Linked DNA regions of Drosophila melanogaster. The protein of the gene in region 1 interacts with the protein of each later gene in a pairwise test. Each region holds a gene or a part of one and is shown in the gene's direction. Other genes may lie near its edges.

Region 1 (7,696 bases):
AAAACTCTGTTTACTTATTTACGCGGGAGTCCCCTTCTTACTTTTCACGGCCCAAAGCTTAGTCATTCCCATTCAAGGTGCTTTTTGATGGTTATTATCTGGGTTATGCAAACCTGACTGCGGCAAGTGCCGAATAATAATGATATCAGAGGAATTTTCGCATTAAAAACTCGAATATTATTAGATTTACATTCATTCCGGCGGGGTAACAATTGAATGACCTCCAATCAATGACCGATTTAAAATGGAACGTCTCAAAACAGATACCCACCGCCATTTTGTCGACGTATGATTGTTTACAGATTTTCGAAGGAAATGAAAGTAGACCAAGTCCGGTGTGTAGGGTGAGTGGCATACTGATATGTCTTATCTGCATCAAGATAGGAGAAAAGCCCCTGCGATCGCTAAGTCTGTGGCACCCAAAGACTTGGCATAAATGCCTTGGCCAGTAGCCAGTTAGAAGCAAGTTTCAAACGAACCTCACAACGAGCAACATGCAGTCACATCTCATCGCCATCCTGCTGGCCACCGTGGCCATTGGCTCCTGCATCGCGAATCCCAACCTCATCTCTGGTCCTTCGCGAATTCTTGAGATAATGAGCGCCACCAGTGATATCCAGCGTAATAATCCACAACTGACCGTAGAATGTTTTGACTACTATAATGACGTATTCAAAACCGAGTATGCGGAGTATGTGGATGAGTACAATCTGTGCGTCGATAAGTATGATGGCGGTTATGAACAGGTTCTGGAACAGTACAATTCCGTTGTCTGGGACCTCAGCAATTCCACCTTCGAATCCTGCATGTTCCTGCTGGACTGCGATAAACAGAATAACAGCGAAAATGCTCTATCCTGCTACTCCACTGAGGTAAGTGAATAGTGATTTGATTTTTTAAATACAATTATTTGATAAGTCTTATTTTGTAAAATTAAAACATTCAAATTCAAATTAATTTTCAGGGTCCGACATATTCCAAGCAGTTGTCGAATGTGGCAGCCAATGCTTCGGTCTCGGTCAGTTCACTGCGTCAGCAGGTCGAAACACTGGTGTTCACCCGTGACCAATGCTGTTCTGCAACGTCCAGGAACTATGAGATCCGCTCCGGCGAGTCCTACGAAGATCTTCAGAAGTGCCTGAGCGGTGAGAATCCTGTGCCGGAAAGAAGCACCACCACTACCAGTTCCAGCTCCAGCTCCAGCACCAGCACCACCGCCGCCAACCCCACTACTACCACCACGACCCCATCTCCTTCAACCACCACCTCATCGTCTTCCACCTCCTCAACAACGAGATCTCCATCGACAGTTGCGCATTTTAGTTCCGTTGAAAACAGCAGTGGCAACAGCCAGCACCGATTTCCAAGAAGACTGGACAATATTTTCAAACATATTCTTTAAGGGTTGAACAATATAAAAGTCAATATCAATAAACTAAAAAGGAACATTGCAAAAAGACAATATTAATAGTGAACAATTAATAAAGTAAACTAATATTAATACTCATTTTTTGGGCTATAACTAGGGGTATAGCTAATGTTTAATGAAAAGTTTGGACTTACAATATTTTGTGGCATATCTTACAATTAAAATGAGATTGTGCTCTAAATAATGTTAAAGAAACTAAACACTTAACTTACAACTATATTTTATATGAGTTGATACAACTGTTTCAATAGCCATTTAAAATTCCAAGCTAGAATAATTTATTTGCCAAGAATACTCTTATCTTCGTCTGAATGGCTTTTTATCCGTTTTCAGTAAACTTCTGATGCAATTGAAAAACAGGCCTAGGGCCTTTGAGAAATGGCAATGGCTTAAGGATTGGCTCCAATCCTTAAACTAAACAGATGGAATCAAGTGATGAAGTCAATCTGGAAACTCAAACGAGAAACTAAAACCCATTGCAACTTACTTAATTAACGGACCGATCTAGGTGGAAAACCGAGTAGGAAACCAACCTGATGCGATGCAAATAAAACTTTTTGCATTTGCCATCAGTCCAAGTTTATCAAAGATCCAGCAGGACACGGACTGGGGGGAGGGGGGGGGGTTGGCATTAGCGGGGAATGGAAGGACAAACATGTAAATCAGCCTGGGAAAACTTTACCCCGGGCAGGACAAATAAAAAGGGCGAGGAAAAAGGAAATCTAGGACGGGACACTTTAAGGTAGCGGTAACAGTTAAATAAACATCAGAGCCATTTTCCTAGCGGTGTTTTTTTTTATTCAATTTTAATTGCATGTGGTGTTATTGTTTGTACAGCTGCCGGTGGCGGCCTTGTTGTCACTGCAATTAAAACAAATTAGAAGCGCTGTGCAAAGGGGAGAAGATTTCACTTTGCCAAAATAAAGCCAATAACTTGGCAAGTCCCAGTATCCTGCGTCCTTGCCGTCTTGCAGCCTGCCTATTGGTTGGTTGGCATTGCGATACCCAAAACACACACACACACACTGACTCAAAGAAGAACACGCAATTAAGATATGCAAATTAGAAGATGTCCTTGCTCCGGCAGCTCCTGTATACCTGATGGCATCTTCACTCCACTGGGCTCTGATAATTATGCAGAGGTATGCAATGGAGACGGCTTTAATCTTGGCCAACCATCTCAACGATAGATTTTTATTTTGGGCAACAATATCGGGTGAAGTGAGTCATTCAACTTTTTCAAATGTAATTATTGTGTTGACCGACAAGCTCTTTTGATAAGCTTGAAATGTGTATTGTTCGGTCATTAGTCATAGAAATTATACCAAAATCAAGTAATCAATCTGTGCCCGAATATCGACTCAGAAATTAATTGATAACGAATTGGGAAATCCTAAAAGCCGCGGTCTATAATTGTTACTTCCCAGTTCGTTACACTCAACCCTAGCATGCCTACTTGTTTACTTTTAGCCAAGTCGAAGGACTTGTCGCACTTACTTCTTTTCACCAATAACATTTAATAATAAGATTGTTTCGCGTTACCTCCGATACTTTCAAGTGGTTTGTGAATATTCCAAGAATCGAACTGTATGACAGACATATAGACTACACGTGTATATTCGCACTATAAACACTCGAAATAGATTAGATTATTTAAGCCTTAAATTCTTAGCTATTTGCTTCCTTTTTTTTTTTAGCAAGCTCGGCAAATTGCGTATGAAGATCAATTCTGGGAAGTATAGAATTCGATCGAATGCTGATCTAGGTGAATAAAAATTTTGGGAGCGGAGTGAAGGAAACCCTTGAACTGGATTTGCCGGGTGGGACCCAATGGAGTGATGGTTATAAAACCGATAAGACTGATAAGACTGACTACGGCCGGGTTTTTGAGATAGCTCGAGTGATAGGCTAAAGCTGTCCAATAACATGGCAATAACATGCGGTTTTTAATGGAAACCAAGGTAGGAATATTATTTTATGGACCACTCAATCGCGACGCCTATAAATACAGCAGGTGCTAGGTGGGATCCAATAAGTACGATTCGATCGCTGGAATAGTTTAAACGTAAACTGTATATAAAAAAAAAAATGCTCGTCAAGTTGTGCGCTATCCTTTTGGCCCTTGGCCTTAGTCAGGCCATTGCGTATCCGCCCCTGCAACTTAGTAATCCGCACCAGAACCTAGTGCAGTTCCTGATACAATCACGTGATCTCGGCAACGATGGTGGACATACCCTTGAATGCTTGGATTATTATCTTCCCCTGCTGAACGACGTTGTGGAGACCTACAAGGCTGATTTAAATGCGTGTTTGGAAACAGCTAGTCAGGAGGTCTCACAGATCAACGACAATACCAAGGAAGAACGAGATGCCATCGATGCCTCAGCCAAGAGCTCCTGCGATGCCCTCACCGCATGTAGTACAAAGGAAGCGGCCATAGATTACTTCCAGTGCTACAGTGAAGCCGTAAGTTGACTTTTGATGTGTTGCCGCGAACATGAACCACTCCCAAATTGATGATTACAAATTATTTTCGCGTTGAAAAAAAAAAAATGATTAGTCAAACACATGATTATATAATCTAATTAAATTGTTAACTTTTAATAGTGATTACCAAATCCAACAGTTACTAAAGTTTTACTTTGCCAGAAACATGATTTTCAGTCTAAATACATATTCGAAATTTAGTTTGCGGTTGATTAAGTTAACTATATAGTATATTTCTATAACATTTACTAATTTTCAAATATTCTACATTTCAGGGCTCCAACAACACCAAAACCATGTTCACCATCTCCGCTAACGCTTCGGAGCTGCTGGCTGCTGTGGAGGAGGAAGTGCGTCTCATCAAGGTGAAGGAAGAGGTGTGCACCAACAAGACCCAGAGGGCCTATGGAGAGAGCTACGGTCAGCTGTACGCGGATTTGGGTGATTGCATTGCTGGCGCTCCAATTCCATCGGAATCCACAAGCACCCAGGCCTCCTCCACGGATTCTTCGACTGATTCGACGTCCGCTTCCACCGAATCCTCTACTGATTCGTCCTCCGTTTCCACCGAATCTTCTACTGATTCGTCCTCCGTTTCCACCGAATCTTCTACTGATTCCTCGACTGATTCTTCCTCCGCTTCCACCGAATCGTCTACTGATTCGTCCTCCGTCTCCACTGAATCCTCAACGGATTCCTCAACTGATTCGTCCTCCGTGTCCACCGAATCATCCACTGATTCGTCGACAGACTCCTCATCCGCTTCCACCGAATCCTCTACTGAATCCTCGTCTGATTCGCCCTCCGATTCTACCGAATCCTCTACTGATTCCTCATCTGTTTCCACGGAATCCACAACAAGTAGTGGTGAAAAGGAAGCGGCGCCTGAGGAGGACTTGAAATCCCTCTCCTCTCAAAACAGCAATGACCTCCAGAAGATTCTAAAGAATCTACGGGTTTGGTTTAAAAATCACTAAGCGATCGTTTTAATTTTAAATAAAAGCATAAACGAATAAAACCCAAATAAATATAAATATCTACTTTATTTATTCGAAAATAAAAACAATAAGTGTTTTTCCATTGGGTAAATAAAAATTTAACTTCATAACTTGAAAAGATGAGCAGTGTGATTTATTGTGAAACCCTCTAAAGATATCCGCTGTTATCAAGTTATCAGGGTATAGTCCCCGTTCAGGCGCCAAAGTACAGTGTTACCCGCCACTTGACTAACCAAACGTTAGCAAATCAATTAGAGGCGGTCAGCCGATAAGCTACCAACTATACTATACCATTACCAGATAACAGGGCTATTTATGGATGTTTGGGTCACAGAAAAACTTATTAAAAATCAAATCGGAAGGAATCATGGCCGATTTTAAGAACACGATAGCAACTTAATTAGCTTTTAATCAGCATGATTTAAAGATTTCTCGATGACAGTTCCAACTACCGAAAATTATGATAGAAGAGAGCTATAAAAATATGAACCAAAGGCCGGTAGCATTCAGTACGTATTCGAGATCCGTTAAGTCGGTCAGTTAAGTGGGAATACTAAAAATGAAGTTCGCTGTTGTCCTGTGCCTGCTATTGGCCACCAGTGGCTTTGCCCTGGTCCCCAAGCATCCCGCCGATCTAGTCTCCATGTTGGCCCGCCAACAGTTCGCCGTTCGAACTTTAATGGCCGCTCCCGAGGCACGGGATGATTCGACCCTGATCAATGACTGCTTCAACCACTACCTGGAGGACCAGACCAACGTGATCATGGGTTACAACCTACAGTACACCGGATGTCTGAGAACAGCACAAAGTGGTCGGGATGAGCTCACTAAGGAGAGCGCCTCGGAGCGCGAAGCCCTTCTGGATCGCACCAACAAAATGTGTTCCAGTCTGACTGAGTGCGATACCCTTGTTGATGGCCTGGAATTCTTCGACTGCTACCGCAATGCCGTAAGAAAAATTATTCACTAATTTAATTATCTCGAAATCTCCAGAAGATGATCTACCTCTTCAAGCACTTACGATTATAATGAAAAGCTCTTTAAAATGTGCCTTGGCCACACACTGGTCTAGATTTCCAATCGTATTGCTTACTGCTCGATTAGAGCGGATTAAAAAAGCGTGCCATTGTCATAAATTCATTCGTATTATCAGACGAGAGCTAAAGTGCTTTATAATGAGTGACAGTCTAACATTAAGGGAATATACAATAAATAGTAACATGCAATATCTTTTAGTCCTCCGACAGCTACAAGGTTATGTTCACCCTGAACAGTGACTCCAGCCTGGACTTCAACCGCATCAGTGCCAAGTACCAAGTGATCGAGACCGATCTTACTGACTGTGTGGATTCAGCTCGCTTGGATTACGCCCACGACATGGACGCCTGCGACGAGAATCTGACGTTGTGCTTAAAGGGAGGCGAGACTTCCCCCGAACCGACTGTTCCCACTACGACCTCTGGGACGCCAGTCACGGTCACTACTCCTGAGGCTCCAGTGTCCACTACTCCTGAGGCTCCAGTGACCACTACTCCTGTAGCTCCATCCACTACTGAAACTCCAGTGCCCACTACTCCTGTAGCTCCATCGACTACTGAGGCTCCAGTGTCCACTACTCCTGAGGCTCCAGTGTCCACTACTCCTGTAGCTCCATCGACTACTGAAGCTCCAGTGCCCACTACACCTGTAGCTCCATCGACTACTGAAGCTCCAGTGCCCACTACACCTGTAGCTCCATCGACTACTGAAGCTCCAGTGCCCACTACACCTGTAGCTCCATCGACTACTGAAGCTCCAGTGCCCACTACACCTGTAGCTCCATCGACTACTGAAGCTCCAGTGCCCACTACACCTGTAGCTCCATCGACTACTGAAGCTCCAGTGCCCACTACACCTGTAGCTCCATCGACTACTGAAGCTCCAGTGCCCACTACACCTGTAGCTCCATCGACTACTGAAGCTCCAGTGCCCACTACACCTGTAGCTCCATCGACTACTGAAGCTCCAGTGCCCACTACACCTGTAGCTCCATCGACTACTGAAGCTCCAGTGCCCACTACACCTGTAGCTCCATCGACTACTGAAGCTCCAGTGCCCACTACTCCTGTAGCTTCATCGACTACTGAAGCTCCAGTGTCAACTACTCCTGTAGCTCCATCGACTACTGAAGCTCCAGTGTCCAGTACTCCAGAAAGCACTACCGAAGCCGCTTCCACTACCGAGCGTTCCCCTGAGGAAGATATCGACAGATCTGGGCGTCTCGGTCAGAGGAGAACTTGGAACCTGTTTAAGCGCTTCTTCTAAGCGTGAGAAACTTTGTATTATTTATTGCATTCAATGAGAAAATTTAGCTACGTATAAAGCGTAGAATACTTTTGGGTTTGATTTCAAATTGTTTTCATAGAGGGACGCGTGCAGGATTTCTGCGGAAGGGGTTCCAAAAATATCAACAAATTGCTGTATTAGTAGATTAAAACTTTTGTTAAATATATAGAAACTGTATGCACACTTTTTGTTTTGAATTCCAAATATATTCAATCAAGTCGGTTGACTAGTGGATTAACCCTCTTGAGTACGACGCTGGGAGTAATCTTATCTCTGATAGATGACGGAGTAATGAGCTTTATCTCGCCTGTCCAACCAGACAAGCGCCACACTATTGACTACTGGTGTTTGCCACTACTCTTAGATCAGAGAGCTTCGATCCACCGGACGACACTGGCAATCACATTGTGCACGTCTATAGATAAGTGGTGCACCTGAACCTTTCATAAATAACTGG
Region 2 (8,527 bases), about 10 Mb from region 1:
AATACCATGCGCCACTGGCTGGGATCCTCCTCATCCGATACGATCGCTCCCACCACCAAAGGAGCTATTATGGAGGTCACTCCCGCAATCCCATTGGTGACTCCCATCATTGGGCCGGCAAAGTTGGGCGACAGGTCGATGTGATTGATCAGATATCCACAGGAACAGCCCGCATTGATGCCCACTGCCAGTGTCAGCAGAAGAATGGCCCACGTTTTCTCATCGGCTGTCATGTAGCCCAGTCCAATCAAACAAGCCATCGGTCCCCACTGTCCAATCGAATTAAACAGCTTTCGAGCCGTGGTGATCGATATAGTGCCTCTGTTGATAAGCAAATCCGATATGGGACTGACCACAAAGCAGAGCAGGCCCATAGCAAAGTACGGCAGCGAGGAGAGGAAGGCATTGGACTTGACATTTAGCTGCAGAACCATGCTCATGTAAGTGGGCATTTCGGTGAGCAGCGTGTAGAAACCCCAGGTGAATCCACAATGGGCTGCCAGCAGACCGTAAAAGGCTGGCGACCTAAAGATCGACATCCAGGGCACAGGCATAGACTTTAAAAAGAGGTTGCTCCATTACAATTGCTCTACAAATAACCTATCACATCTTCACTCACCTGACTGGAGCTGTTGCTGCCCGTAAGGCTTTCGATATACTCCACCTCGCCTTTGCTGATCCTGCTGGCTGTAACCGGTTCATTGGCGGCCTGCCAAAAGAAAAGCAGCGCCCAAGCGAGGCTGAGACCTCCGGAAAGGTAGAACAACCCTGGCCAACCCATGCTGGATTCGAAGATGAAGCCACTGGTGACCAGGATGACAGCCGTTCCGAACTGTGCTCCCGAATAAACGCCAGTGGTTAGCAGTCCCCGCTCAGTGCGTGGCACCCACTTAGCCAGCAGCGTGTGGACACACGGATAAACCGTGCCCTGGACCAGACCGGTAAGAACGCGCAGAACGCAGATACTCTGCCACCCGCTTTTGGCTGCAATGGGATGGAAGAAGCACAAAATACCTCCGATTGCAGTCGCCAGGCCCAGCACTAACTTGGCTCCAAATCGCTTGGCAAGCAGTCCTACAAAATTGTGAAGCAGGTGGTAAGTACGAGTAGATTCCGGCCTAGATTGCAGCCACTCACCTGCCGGCACCTGGGAGACCACATAGCCCCAGAAAAAGCTGCTGAGGATCAGGGACTTGTCCGACGTATCCCAGGTGTAGAACGGAGCCCCCGCGGTGGACTGCGTCATGGGCACAATGGCAGCCGAGATGTTCACCCGCTGGAAGTAGTTGATCATCATGCCCACGAACAGAAGAACCGCCTGCCAGTGTCGCACGCCAAGACCTCCAGCTGAGATGGGTATGTAAATGATTTATTTAGTTTAGAGATTAAAGATACGCTCATTTACAGGCTAGTCTCCTAAGCGGATTCGGAACTACTCTGACTAGCAGGGGTCTTCTCTCTCCACTGGAATAATAAACCATGTCTGATCAGTTAGGAATTTAACTGGCGTCTGGCCATCCGATTTATTGATTGCCCCATTATAAGTGCACGGTGCAAATTGTTGTCACTTGGTCGATATTTTCTAGGACCTCAATCTACGGTTTATTGCCGTTTAACAATGCTCTGATAGTGATGATTTCATTAATTGCGGCTCCGACGGAACTCTTTGGGTTTTATTATAATAATATTTTCATTATCATTAACGCCTGCCAATGAGGAAAACAAAAGCAGCTGTGTGGTCTCAATGGAAAAGTTCGCGTAGTGGTGGAGACTCCACCGTGGGACCAAACGTGTGTATACAGTCGTAAAGCTCGATTGCCTCCTCCTATGAAGTTGAACTGGATGGATATTCAGATTAGATCGCCAGAAATTGCTTTCCCTGCAGATGAACACGTTGGCCAACCTTCGCGCAGTTAATAAATATTTTCTTTGTGTCAGGCCGATTTATCTCTGTTGATCTTCATAAAGTCGTAAGTCTCGGCAGATGTCTGATATAAGATTTATCAAGATATGGTTTGCAAATATATAGCCAGACGTCTGGATTGTAATAACATTGACCAAACTCTTAGGGTAGGTCTAGTGGTTTGTGAAGAGCACTTATGGAGAAGATTAAGAGAGCAGCGGTATAACTGATACTGATAGTGCTCTATATGTAATTTATGTCTTTAAGTTAAAACAAGTGACGAACGAACCCTCACAAGATACTAAAGTTCTGATATCAACTTTTGTGACGAAAAATGATTTTGCACTTGACTTTACAAAACAAAAGATTTTATTAATTAAAAATCTACTAAATCGTTAAGCTTTGTAAAAATATTTAAAAAAGTATCCTGGTGCGCTTCGTCACTACGTGTACGTCCACAGCCCACAGTGACTTAATTTAGCAAGGGAACCAGCTGGTAAAAATATTGTTCTTTATAATTTTTTTTTCATATATATTATTCTATTTAATATTTTCGATTCCAGTAACTCCATATGTTCACGGTGCACACCTTATCAAACCTATTCACACTTGAATTTTGATATTTTGGGAATCTCTCGAAGGTTTTCTATGAAACTCTAGTTATTGTGCTTTTATTTCGAAATATGTGAAATATGACACTCTAATACTATCTTAATCAGCAGTGATTTTCTCTTCGATCCGAAACTTACGCCTTGCCTTATCCTCAGAGGGTTCGAAACCCATTTTAGATGTCTTTCTGATTTATTTATAATAACTCGGTGATGTGGAAATCAGTCTGTCCGAAGTGGCTGGCCCCGAAAACGATGGTAAACTGCGGAGCGATTGTTGTACCTTTCGCTTTTATACTGATACCACAAAATCGCAGTCTCCTGATTACACGCGGCTCCGCCTCCAGGTCTCAAGTGGCCACGCAGATCGTCCGTCACTATCGCGGCAATAATCATAAACCCATAAACCGCCACCAAAGTGCTCGGCACTTGCCCCTCATTGTTCAATCCAATGCAAATTACATTAAGTCTTCGCTTTGATTTTCTTTTACGATTGTAAGCGATTGAACACAACCGATCGTATTATTCCAGTTGTTATAAAAAGTGGATCAGTAATTTATATAGAAAGGGTTATCTGATACGTATACATATGTACATATATGGGATGTTACTGGCCTGCACTCGAAATCCCTTTTAGAGCCAATGATTCAATTGTTATCTCTTGTTGTGTGCACTTTCCACAGAATTCTCTTGATTATCCTGGCCTAATTGTTTTACAGCTTCCGATTAGCGCTGTCAACACTTTTGATCCCAAGTAGATTCTGGGGAAAGCCTTTATAGCTAAGATATACCATGTGTCAGCCTTCAAGGCTTTCGTCAGAGGGGCAATCAAGTATTATGTAAGGAGAAAGTACCACGACATTTATAATTCAAACGAAGACGTTTTGTAATATTTGAAGTGGCTTTAAATCTTTATCACTGCGGAGTGTGCAACTTCTATGTGATAGATATGCGAAAAAGATAGTACTCCTGTTCAAAATTAACTATGTGATGCATGCCATGATTTAAATGATTTGTCATACCATTTAAGTAGCTAATAATAAATATAGTAATTCTTATTAAGAAGTATTTGATCGTATTAGGAGAATATAACAACGAAACACGTAGACCACATCTTGTGATCAAAAGAGCCCTATAGTTGTAATGTTTACGTTGTTGATTACATTAATGCCTTGAGATCTTTTGCGTTTGTTCGATAAGAAAATGATCCAAACGCTAAAATTGACAAAATACAAGAATCTGCACTGACATTTTTTGACATTCACATAGATTGCCAATAAATAAATTTTTGCCACACCCATTTTAACGCCGCTAAGCCGTTCATTTTGAAATATTTTTTAATTTTTTCTTATTTTATTCCCCAATATCTATAGATATCCCAGAAAAATTACGAAATTTCGTGTTCGCATTCACACTAGCTGAGTAACGGGTATCTGATAGTCGAGGAACTCGACCATAGCATTCTCTCTTGTTTATGGGTTAGTTTCATACTGTAAATATGTATTGCAATAGCTAATTATGTTTTGTATCCATTCATTATAAAATAGAATTAAAACATGTGGTTCCAAATTGGTAGGGATAAGAACGATTTGTTGGCAATGTGTAGCCGAATTGGTAAAAAAAATATGCTGTTCCTCCAAGCGATCTAATTTTCATTTTTAGAATTTTAAAGTAATACAAAGGCCATCCAATTCCATACTAAATAATTAAATATATGATATTTTTATATTATGTATCTTGATTATTAAAAAATACTTATTATTACTTATTTATTTAATTTCATTTAATTTCCATTTATATACCTTGTATATATACCTTATACCTTACCAGTACTGCAATAAATACTTAAAATCTTTTTAAAATTTTCTTTAAAAATGTTGTTCTTCAAAATATTATTGTAACGGAAAAACGATAATTTCTTTGTATATTATACTTCTTGTTATCTGGTCACACTAGGCAAAGGAGATTCGTTTCGCTTGCTTAATTTTTTTGCTGCTCCTTCAATATGTCCACGAGATCTTCATTCGCCGATGAAGAGCAGAACAAAGTGCCCCGTATCATGACCTTCCGTCCCAGCTACGAGGAGTTTCAAAATTTTTCCGCCTACATTGAGTACATTGAGTCTCGGGGAGCACACTTAGCCGGCTTGGCCAAAATCCAAGTAAGCTGGCCCAGCCCCCAACTACATCTTTGCACATAAATATAATTAAATTGGTATTTTTTTATATGCAGCCACCTGCGGAATGGGTGCCCCGAAAGTCGGGCTACGACATAGACAACATCAACATGACCATTCCAGCGCCGATTTGCCAAGTAGTCACTGGGTAAGTGCTTCTCATTTACGACTCAATGGACAAAAATAAGGGAAAACTTTTGAATGTTAATGCAGGGCGCACGGGGTGTACCAGCAAATCAACATCCAGCAGCGCCGGCAGATGACCTTGCGCCAATTCATGGAGAAGGCCAACTCGGAGCTGCACCAGACACCGAGGCACTTCGACTACGACGATCTGGAGCGCAAGTACTGGAAGAACATCACCTACATATCGCCACTGTATGCAGCCGATGTCAAGGGATCGCTGAGTGATGAAGACCTTGACGTTTGGAACATTGGACGCTTGGACACCATATTAAACTTGGTCAACACTGACTACAACATAATCATCGATGGGGTAAACACGGCTTACCTCTACTTTGGCATGTGGAAGAGCTCTTTTGCCTGGCATACCGAGGACATGGATCTGTATTCTATTAACTATCTGCATTTTGGAGCACCCAAAACCTGGTACGCCATTCCGCCGGCGTATGGCAGACGTCTGGAGAAGCTGGCGAACGAAACCTTCTCTGAGAACTACCAGGAATGCAATGCCTATCTTCGCCATAAGATGACCATGATCAGTCCGAAGGTGCTGCGCCAGCACAACATACCTTACAACAAGATCACGCAGGAAGCGGGCGAAATCATGATTACATTTCCCTTCGGCTACCATGCCGGGTTCAATCATGGCTTCAACGGCGCCGAGTCGACCAACTTTGCGTCGAAGCGTTGGATCGAGTACGGCAAGCGGGCTAGTATTTGCCGATGCCGCAGCGACATGGTTAAGATCTCGATGGAGACCTTCGTACGCCGTTTCCAGCCAGAGCGATACGATAATTGGCTGAAAGGTCAGGACATGGGCTGTCATCCCGAGGAGCCGGGTAAAATATGCGCTGCAGCACCACCCACTTTGAATGAGTACGAGAAACAGGAAAAGTATTACATTAGCTATTGAAGTTGACTTATATTACTAAGACAACCTAATATTTCAGCTTACGTGCAGCCAAATCCGAAGAAGAATCTCCGCAGAAGCGAGGCTGCTCGCTGGCCGGCAATGGATGTGAACGAAACGCGGAGTCCGCCGAGGATGTCGACGATAAGGCCAGTGTGAGCAGCTATAGCAGCTGCCGCCAGCTGCAGCCAGTTGTCAAACTACGCAAACTCCCAACCATTGCGTCTGTACCTGAACCATCTTCCGCCCCCAAGAGATACGACTTCAATACTGAGGCTGTGGTGCGCGTAAAGCGCCTATGGAATGAACTGCCCTGTCCGGATCGAGGGGCCAACCTGCTCACCAACGGTGTAGTAAAGAATACCAAACGAATGCGCTTCCAGACAAAAGTACTCACACTTGACGACGAGGATTGAGGATTCCAGATGTGGCACTGCTTGCTGGCAGTTTTTGATCTCCTTGTTAGATTTTCGCGCCGCAGCAATCAAAGATCTAGTAGTGATATTCTTTGGTAAATTTTTATACATTTTAAGAGGACATGACGACATAACTAAGAAGATATGTGTGTATAATTTAGAAGACAAGCAAATTCGTGCAAACAAATATGTAAATCTTTAAGCTGTAGCTGTAGGGCAGACTGAATTTGTCCGTTCACATTTTAATTTAACAAGTGTCTGTTCCCACCGAAAGAAGTATTGCAACACAATTTAAATCTGAAAATGCCAAAATCATTTTTTAAAGAACACCCTAAAGGCCAATGTCTATAATCACACAGATATATCGTTTAATAATTTGATATGTTATGACATGTGTAAAATTCTTTGCAACCAAAAGAGAAACGCCCACTAAATTGGCAACCATTTTTAAGGAACTATCAGAAAAAATCATTTAAAAAAAAAACACCCTAAAGGCCAATGTCTATAATCACACAGAAATATGGTTTAATAATTTGATATGTTATCACATGTGTAAAATTCTTTGCAACCAAAAGAGGAACGCCTACTAAATTGGCAAACATTAATTAAGAACTACAAATCGCGGACTATAAAAGCATTCCGAGCTCCTCCTATCGCCAGTTATATTATAGCCTTAAACATTCGAAACTTTAGATGTTCGGACACTTTAAGCTCGTCTATCCGGCTCCTATATCGGAGCCCATACAGTCTAGGGATTCGAATGCATACATGATGGAGACGCTGCGAAATTCGGGCTTGAATTTGAAGAACGATTTCGGTATAGGCCGCAAGATTTGGAGGGTGTTTTCGTTCACCTACAATATGGTGATACTTCCCGTAAGTTTCCCAATCAACTATGTGATACATCTGGCGGAGTTCCCGCCGGAGCTGCTGCTGCAATCCCTGCAACTGTGCCTCAACACTTGGTGCTTCGCTCTGAAGTTCTTCACTCTGATCGTCTATACGCACCGCTTGGAGCTGGCCAACAAGCACTTTGACGAATTGGATAAGTACTGCGTGAAGCCGGCGGAGAAGCGCAAGGTTCGCGACATGGTGGCCACTATTACAAGACTGTACCTGACCTTCGTCGTGGTCTACGTCCTCTACGCCACCTCCACGCTACTGGACGGACTACTGCACCACCGTGTTCCCTACAATACGTACTATCCGTTCATAAACTGGCGAGTCGATCGGACCCAGATGTACATCCAGAGTTTTCTGGAGTACTTCACCGTGGGTTATGCCATATATGTGGCCACCGCCACCGATTCCTACCCTGTGATTTACGTGGCAGCCCTGCGAACTCATATTCTCTTGCTCAAGGACCGTATCATTTACTTGGGCGATCCCAGCAACGAGGGTAGCAGCGACCCGAGCTACATGTTTAAATCGTTGGTGGATTGTATCAAGGCACACAGAACCATGCTAAAGTAAGTCAGTTTCATTATCCTACCGGAAATATCAACAACCGTGAATTATGTTTTCACTCAACGGATCTGAATTTATTCGGAAAACTGAATAAAAGTACAACTTTTATAAGAACTCGCTATTGATATTTCTGAATATATAAGAGTATATTTTTACATTCAGGATAAAATAAATGGTATATCAAACGATTCGACATAAAACTATTTTATTTCAAATAAATTAGCTTACATTTTTTAAAATATATGCATTAATTTAAATTTTCAATGTTAAAAACCCATCCCACTGTTTCCCATGCAGTTTTTGTGATGCCATTCAACCAATCATCTCTGGCACGATATTTGCCCAATTCATCATATGCGGATCGATCCTGGGCATAATTATGATCAACATGGTATTGTTCGCTGATCAATCGACCCGATTCGGCATAGTCATCTACGTTATGGCCGTCCTTCTGCAGACTTTTCCGCTTTGCTTCTACTGCAACGCCATCGTGGACGACTGCAAAGAACTGGCCCACGCACTTTTCCATTCCGCCTGGTGGGTGCAGGACAAGCGATACCAGCGGACTGTCATCCAGTTCCTGCAGAAACTGCAGCAGCCCATGACCTTCACCGCCATGAACATATTTAACATTAATTTGGCCACTAACATCAATGTAAGTCCACTGCTCTCGGTTAGAACGGGGAAGGAAGCAAAGTCCGAACTTCAATCCTTGCAGGTAGCCAAGTTCGCCTTCACCGTGTACGCCATCGCGAGCGGTATGAACCTGGACCAAAAGTTAAGCATTAAGGAATAGAAAGGAATACTCAATACAATTGACCGCACCAGAGGTAAACGTACATAGTTTTATGAACTTAACACTTT
Region 3 (7,062 bases), 6.8 Mb from region 1:
ATTGCGAGACCACTGACGGACCTATTAAAAAAAGATGCCATTTTCAACATTGGACCAGTAGAGCAGCAGTCGGTGAATAAGCTGAAAGAGATTCTGGTAAACGAACCAGTATTGAGGATCTACTCACGAGAAGCAGAAACCGAACTTCATACAGATGCCTCTAAGGACGGGTTAGGAGCCGTTTTATTGCAGAAGTTCGAAGGCAGTTTTCACCCAGTCTGCTTTTGGAGCAGAAAAACTACAAAAGCCGAATCAAATCGTCATAGTTACTACCTTGAAGTAAAAGCCGCATACTTAGCTCTGAAAAAGTTCAGACACTATTTATTGGGAGTCCCTTTCAAGCTCGTCACGGACTGTGTCGCATTTAAACAGACAACAAAAAAAGCAGATGTCCCAAGAGAAGTTGGCCCATGGATTCTCTATATGCAGGATTTTAATTTTCAACCCGAACATCGTGCAGGAGAAAGAATGAGACACGTTGATTTTTTAAGCCGCCATCCCCAAGCATGCATGATGATAACATCCGAGTTGACAGCACGTATTAAAAAGTCGCAGCAGAACGATGATTCAATTAGAGCAATCCTGGAAATTCTAAAAGATCGTCTATTCCAACCCTACAAGCTAAAAGGTGGCCTGTTGTATAGTATGGTCAATGGCAATGAACTACTGGTTGTCCCTGCACTAATGGAGAGGGAGGTGATTCAAAGCGCACATGAAGTTGGCCATTTGTCGTTGCAAAAGACGATGCATAGCATACAGCAGCAATTTTTTATTCCTCATTTGGAATACAAGGTAAAAAAGCTAATTTCTAACTGTATAAAATGTATCATCCACAGCAAAAAGTTGGGAAAGCAGGAGGGATATCTAAATTGCATAGATAAAGGAGACGCACCGTTGCACACACTACACATCGATCATTTGGGGCCAATGGATTCATCGGCCAAACAGTATAAATACATTCTGGCAACAGTCGATGCGTTTTCAAAGTTTGTCTGGTTATTCCCAACCAAATCAACCGGACAGGAAGAAGTGGTCAAGAGGCTGACCGACTGGTCAAACATTTTTGGTTTCCCTAAGCGAATTGTTAGCGACAAAGGAACGGCCTTTACGAGTGGTGCGTTCGAACAATTTATGAGCAGCCATAACGTGGAACACGTCTGCACAACTACTGGAGTGGCCAGAGGCAACGGCCAGATAGAACGAGTAAATCGTTTAATTTTGGCAATAATATCAAAGCTGTCTTCAGACGAACCGTCGAAGTGGTACAAATATGTGCCTGAGGTACAAAAGGCGATCAACTGTCACGTGCATTCATCACTGAAGCTGTCACCATTTGAGGTCATGTTTGGCACCAAGATGTACACCCGAGTTGAGGATCGGTTACTGGAACTGCTCCAAGAAGAAGTGGTCTGTCAATTCAACGAGGACCGCTATGAGATGAGACAGCTGGTAAAACGCAACATCGAGCAGGCGCAGAAGGACTACAAGCGCAATTACGACAAAAAGCGCCGAGCTGAATACAAATACAAAGCAGGTGATCTGGTTGCAATTAAAAGGACCCAATTTGTAGCTGGCCGCAAGATGGCAAGCGGGTATTTAGGTCCATACGAAGTCACAGGGGTCAAAGACAATGGCAGATATGACGTTAAAAAAGCAGCAAACGTCGAAGGACCCAATGTCACATCCACCAGCTGTGACAACATGAAGTTGTGGAAGTACATAGCCGAAAATGCAGACCTATTGTCATCCGGGTCGGATGATGATGATCAGGAGGGCCGAATGTAACATGGAGTAAGGCTGAAGGCTGGCAACAACCCGGTTGGCAGCGCTGTTGAGCAGCAACATGATTGTCGGAAATCGAAGTTATCGACAATCAGTCATCGAAGGAACGATCGCAAGGCAGCAGTGGAGTCGAGTGGAAGTCAGCGTTGCAGTCAGTCGAGTTCTCAGCAGCAGTCGTTCGGTCACAAACTAAGAATACTTTATATAATTACCGCATTTAGAATTAAACTAATAATTAAATTAATAATAAACAATAATAATAAACAATCTTACATTTATATACAATATGCAATTATACATGTTGACCGATGAAATTTAAATTTTTGCGGCTAGCGGTTGGTAGCGATAACTTGTAATCGACTGTTAGTGTGACCGGACCACTGTTATCTGAGTTCTGTTCACAAGCCTTCACTATATCGATGAATCGTAGGGAGTACAACATTTTCGTCTGACAATCGCAGCTTCCTCTTCTCCGAATCGTTTTTTTTTCGTAATTGTTGAGATAAAGTCGCAAGCGGAACGCCCGAACTGTAGTGCAGACGCACAAGTGCTCTTCCAAAGACCCTTAAGACAATCTTGCAGTGATCCAACATGGTTGACCTCACCGACGCCGGCTCGCCGTTCCAGCAATCCATTCCCGACTTCGCCTTCTACGTGCCGGCAATTGTTGTTTTTACCCTGGCAGGTAAGTTGCGGATGATCCCCTCCCCTGGCCCCCTTCATTTATTAGCTACCACCTTTAGACCCCTCCTTTCCCCAGTGTTATGCATGCAATATCTTTATAGTCGTAGCGAAACCGCGACTAAATGGGTCGAAAGACTTTCACCAAGCGAGCAACTTAGTCAAGTGCTTGCTGGCCGTTTGATATGCACAGCTGTTGGATGTTTGGTTTTTCGTTCTTATCTGTTTTGATTTGAGATACCCTCGATTCGGATTGCCTTTGCGATCTTTTGTCTTACGTGTTCCATCTGGCCAGTCCGTCTCATTCCGGTTTTCTTGCGTACGTAGTCAAAAGTTTGTGGTTCTCAAGAGCGATAATGGCCCTCTGATAAGGAGTCGACCTGCCACCGTTCAATAGACTCTGTCGTACAGTCAAACCTCCGCCGCAAAACGTACCTTTTTGAAATCTTCGAATTTCCAGCATCTCTATTTTGAACATTGCTAGCGTATTTTTGCAGAGATCTTCAAGCAAAACATATTGGTTCCAAAAGTAACTTAATTAAAAAAGCCATTTCTAAATGAGCGTTGTATATGTTTTATAGGTAGAAAGATTAGAAGTGTTATCTTGATATAACATTTATATTAGCTGAAACATTGAATTCCAATTCTAGTGCTTGATATTGCAGAAATTAATAAAAGATCTATAAAATCAGTTCGCGATGTTCGTCTTGAACAATTCAAACTGTAGACGTTTATATGGTGGCCATCTTGTAACATTGTAGCCATCTATCGCTCGCGAATGGGACGGCACTCTTTACTGGGGTTTTGTCTTTATGTACTCGTGTGTCCGGCACTGATTAGTGGCTCTCCCTTATCGCATATGCACACATATGCTCTCCGCAATGCCAACTTCTTGCGATCACCTTTGAAAATATGCTGACGAAGGCAGGAGGCAAAACGAAAAGCGCAGCGAAAAGTTAACTAGTGGGCATATCTGGGAATAATGAAATACAAGCGACTGATTACACACGAGTGGCGGCTTATAATTATATTGATTTTAATATAAGTTTTAGAGAGACTCATTCAGTCCTCCCAAACAGCAGAAGCCGGAGCACGTAAGCACCGGCGATCTAGCGCCAAAATTAGTTAATATTGGAAAGTGTGCGATTTGGGGGGGATTAAATATCGTAGTTTATGTGATTTGTACAATCGTTATTATCTCTGCATGCCGCGTGTCAAACTTGTGTTATAGATAATCAAAATCCATTTTCGAATTCGATTCGTTTGTTTTGCCACGTTGTTTGTTTCTGTGATTTTGTTTGCCCCCCCAATAGCATGCTGAAATGCAGAAAGTAGAACCATAAACCGAATACCATGATTTCCTATATACCATCCATTCAGACGCGAACCGCTAAAAGCCAAAGAGCCCACAGAACCCAGCCCGTAAATTAAAGCCCCAAACAGAGATTAGATCATGGCTGAGGATCCGGTGAACCAGCAGGCATTCGCTGAGGACGTGGCAGCTGCCGCTGCGGCTGGAGGAGCCGGCGGTTTTGCCGGTCCCGAGCCCGGACATCCCGACTTTAAGATGCCCAGTGCCGAGGAGATCTGGAAGCTGGTCGAGGGCATGGAGGGAATTTCGGACGACGAGCGAGCCGAGCTCCGCGAGAGCATCTTTAACCCGAAGCCGCCGTCGCCGGAGGACTTCATGCGCCAGTACGGGCATCCGGGCCACAGTTCCCGGGAGTACCTGGTGTTCTTCGTGATGCTGGCCCTCATACTCATTGTCTTTGGTAAGCGTCCTCCGGAACGAGCCACTAACGAGTCGTATAACCCTTATCGGGCGCGATATACGCACCCACCTGGGTTTCTGCTTAAAGGGCGATAAGGTTTTAGGAGGCGGCTATGTCGAAGCACTCACTCACTCGCTCACGAGCCACAGCTAGAATGTTTGCTTCGTTTAAAAGCGTTCGATTTTTGATAAGATAACCAGTGGTAAGCGTAGGATCCACCGCAGACATAGGTAGAGTGGAATCCAAAGAGCAGTATTTGCCAGAGACCCATGCCGGGCTGTAGTTGACACACCACTTAGCCCCTTTTCCGAACAACCCAAAACATGAGTTGGTCGGGTTCCAGTGACGAGCTCGGGGTTATTGAGCAGCTGAAAAAGTCCGTGGAGTCGATCGTGGCCAAAACTGGGCCCAGCAGCAAGTTCTCCAAGGATCTCGTCCAGCGGATCGGCGAGATGCAGAGCAAGCTGGAGTCCCTGGCCGAAACGGATCGGCATGTGTTTCTCGCCGAGATGAAGGACAAGTTCCAGCAGACGATTGGCAGAATCGAGGAGCGAATAGTGCAGCACGCCCATTTCGCACAGACCTACTCCAGTTCCATAGTGTCGGCAGTGATCTTTCTCTTGGTCTCCATATTCGGTCTCAGTTCCCTTGATCGCATAATGTATCAACGTCACCTTACTAACCGTCTCCCTTCTTTCCGCATTACAGCTCTCTTTGGCTACAAGCTGTACAAATCCCTGACGGAAAAGGAGCTCAAGAAGCAGGAGAAACTGAAGAGCAAGCAACAGAAGAAGGCCAAGAAGTCAAACTGAAGGAGATGGAGGCGAGGATATCATTGACGTAGTGCACTTTCCGGCCCTGAGACCTTCCATCTTGTTAATCAATACAATCGCCCTGTAAATGACTAAATCATAAACCAGTAAACGTAATAAAATAAAACGTACCCCATAACTCTTTTAAATGCCACGGTAATTGTGTTGTTACGACGAGTCGAATTAATTGCCATTAAAATACGGCATCAGGAAATGCAAATCGGTGTCGTGACCTAACTTGTTGCTGCCATCTAGGCAATCCGTCCAATCCTGGCCTCCGTTGTCATGGGAAACGGGGTCGTTTTGTCGAAGCTTCTCCTGTCAGGCCAGCTATTAATAGTTAAATTCAGTTTCCAGTTACCCAGTTAAGCAGCAACACTCGGAAAGGATCAACAATTTTTGCGGAAATAAAAAACATGTCCTATTCCAGCCGTAAGTTAAAAGCTCAACCATGACTTATCTATTAATCTAATGTGTCAACATGCCCTTCTAGGATTTGGTTTCGACTTCCATCTGCCGGATGAGGGATGGTGCTACCCGAAGAACGACATGCATTTCATCCGCAGCGCGGAATGGGTGCCCGTGGAGAAGGCAGGCGTGGGCCGCTCATTCGCCAATCCCAATGGCGTGATCTATCCGCGGGTGGTAGGCATGATTCCACGCTACGGCGGCCACGTTCCGGGCAACAAATTTCGTGTGGGCAACACCTATGGCCGTTCCACCATCGACGCCAAGCGTCATCTGGCCCTCAATCATGATTGAGGACCGAGTTATCGGAACACTCACTCACCATTAGCCAATCAAATTCGCTGTGTTACGCTTACAGAAGCACCCGAAATAAATCGTATCCAGTAGAAGCCTGTAGAAAATGGCAAATAGAAATAAAATCATACAAATTCAAATGTCCAAGAAAAGCACATTTAATTTATGATGGCTTTTTCGAGCAATAAAATTAATTAAACTTTAGGTCACAAGATAAGAATATATTCGTTATGGTACACAAGGTGCCAAAAACACTTTTCTCCTAACAAATATCAAGAAAAGTAACTATAATTATTGATCGCACGCGAAAAATTTTAAAATAAAATCTCAAAAAGTATTTATTTCATTTATTATTTGACTTTTAGTACATTTATTACAACATTTCTGTAAATGCTTCAATATTTTTTTATAATAATAAATACTTCTTGTTAATTTTCAATATTTTTAGAAATGAAAGGAGTGATATGTATATTTAAACGCCTTATGAGAGTATCAAGTATCAAAAAGGCGCGCAATTTAAATTCTTGCTCCGCTGCAACTGTCTGTATAACAATATTAAAACATCCTTACTTTCCTAGCTTTCTATTACTAATGTACTGTCGGTGCTTGGGGTCATATATTTTTAGATTTTTCATAGGAATTTTCATCTCAGAAAAATTAAATTAAACCGAAATCACGTAGTGTTACCATAACGCAATGAGAGCAAATACTCTGTTTTGTTTGGATTCCGTTGGGTATTTTGGGGACTGCTGGCGAAAGTCTTTCGAGAGATAACGAGTAAATAAGAAATCATCGTTAGCAAAAAACTTTTTTGAGAAGATCACCTAGCAAACCGACTGATTATCTGTAAGATACGAAAACGAGCTGCTTTCCCAGTAGCAGAGATCGGCGACTGATCCACGATGGGCATCAATTGCCTTAACATCTTCAGACGTGGCCTCCACACGAGTTCCGCCCGATTGCAGGTGATCCAGAGCACCACGCCCACCAAGCGGATATGCATCGTAGGCGCCGGACCCGCCGGCTTCTATGCCGCCCAATTGATCCTCAAGCAGCTGGACAATTGCGTGGTGGATGTGGTCGAGAAGCTGCCGGTTCCCTTCGGACTGGTGCGGTAAGCAGAACAATCTTTATAAGGCGGTGCTGTTGGCTGCCAGGCCAAAGCCAAATATTGGACCCACTACGGAGCGGAAGATGCCAGTGAAGTATGCTGAAGAGATCGACATGTGTGTAATCCTTGCCAGAAATCCAGG

Evidence for each region. Proteins that work in one complex are often made in the same cells at the same time.
Region 2: the proteins of CG10911 (region 1) and Kdm4A interact in a two-hybrid assay, tested with the Drosophila melanogaster proteins (one large-scale study listed by BioGRID).
Region 3: the proteins of CG10911 (region 1) and CG42336 interact in a two-hybrid assay, tested with the Drosophila melanogaster proteins (one large-scale study listed by BioGRID).

The regions. Positions count from the first base shown.
Region 1 is NT_033778.4:18,049,828-18,057,523, reverse strand, and holds CG10911 (uncharacterized protein), read left to right. Parts: upstream 1-3,457; 5' UTR 3,458-3,517; coding exon 3,518-3,895; intron 3,896-4,191; coding exon 4,192-4,893; 3' UTR 4,894-4,974; downstream 4,975-7,696. Other genes in the region: CG10912 (uncharacterized protein), read left to right, coding at 495-872, 965-1,402; Muc55B (mucin 55B), read left to right, coding at 5,474-5,863, 6,151-7,218.
Region 2 is NT_033778.4:7,920,906-7,929,432, reverse strand, and holds Kdm4A (lysine demethylase 4A), read left to right. Parts: upstream 1-4,444; 5' UTR 4,445-4,516; coding exon 4,517-4,672; intron 4,673-4,743; coding exon 4,744-4,835; intron 4,836-4,900; coding exon 4,901-5,764; intron 5,765-5,820; coding exon 5,821-6,196; 3' UTR 6,197-6,658; downstream 6,659-8,527. Other genes in the region: MFS12 (major facilitator superfamily transporter 12), read right to left, coding at 1-557, 620-1,074, 1,138-1,347, 2,653-2,686; Or43b (odorant receptor 43b), read left to right, coding at 6,890-7,665, 7,961-8,318, 8,382-8,459. UniProt on the Drosophila melanogaster protein: Probable histone demethylase that specifically demethylates 'Lys-9' and 'Lys-36' residues of histone H3, thereby playing a central role in histone code. Demethylation of Lys residue generates formaldehyde and succinate.
Region 3 is NT_033778.4:11,292,667-11,299,728, reverse strand, and holds CG42336 (uncharacterized protein), read left to right. Parts: upstream 1-4,486; 5' UTR 4,487-4,558; coding exon 4,559-5,047; 3' UTR 5,048-5,193; downstream 5,194-7,062. Other genes in the region: CG18336 (uncharacterized protein), read left to right, coding at 5,464-5,479, 5,541-5,809; CG30033 (uncharacterized protein), read right to left, coding at 6,940-7,019; dare (defective in the avoidance of repellents), read left to right, coding at 6,712-6,923.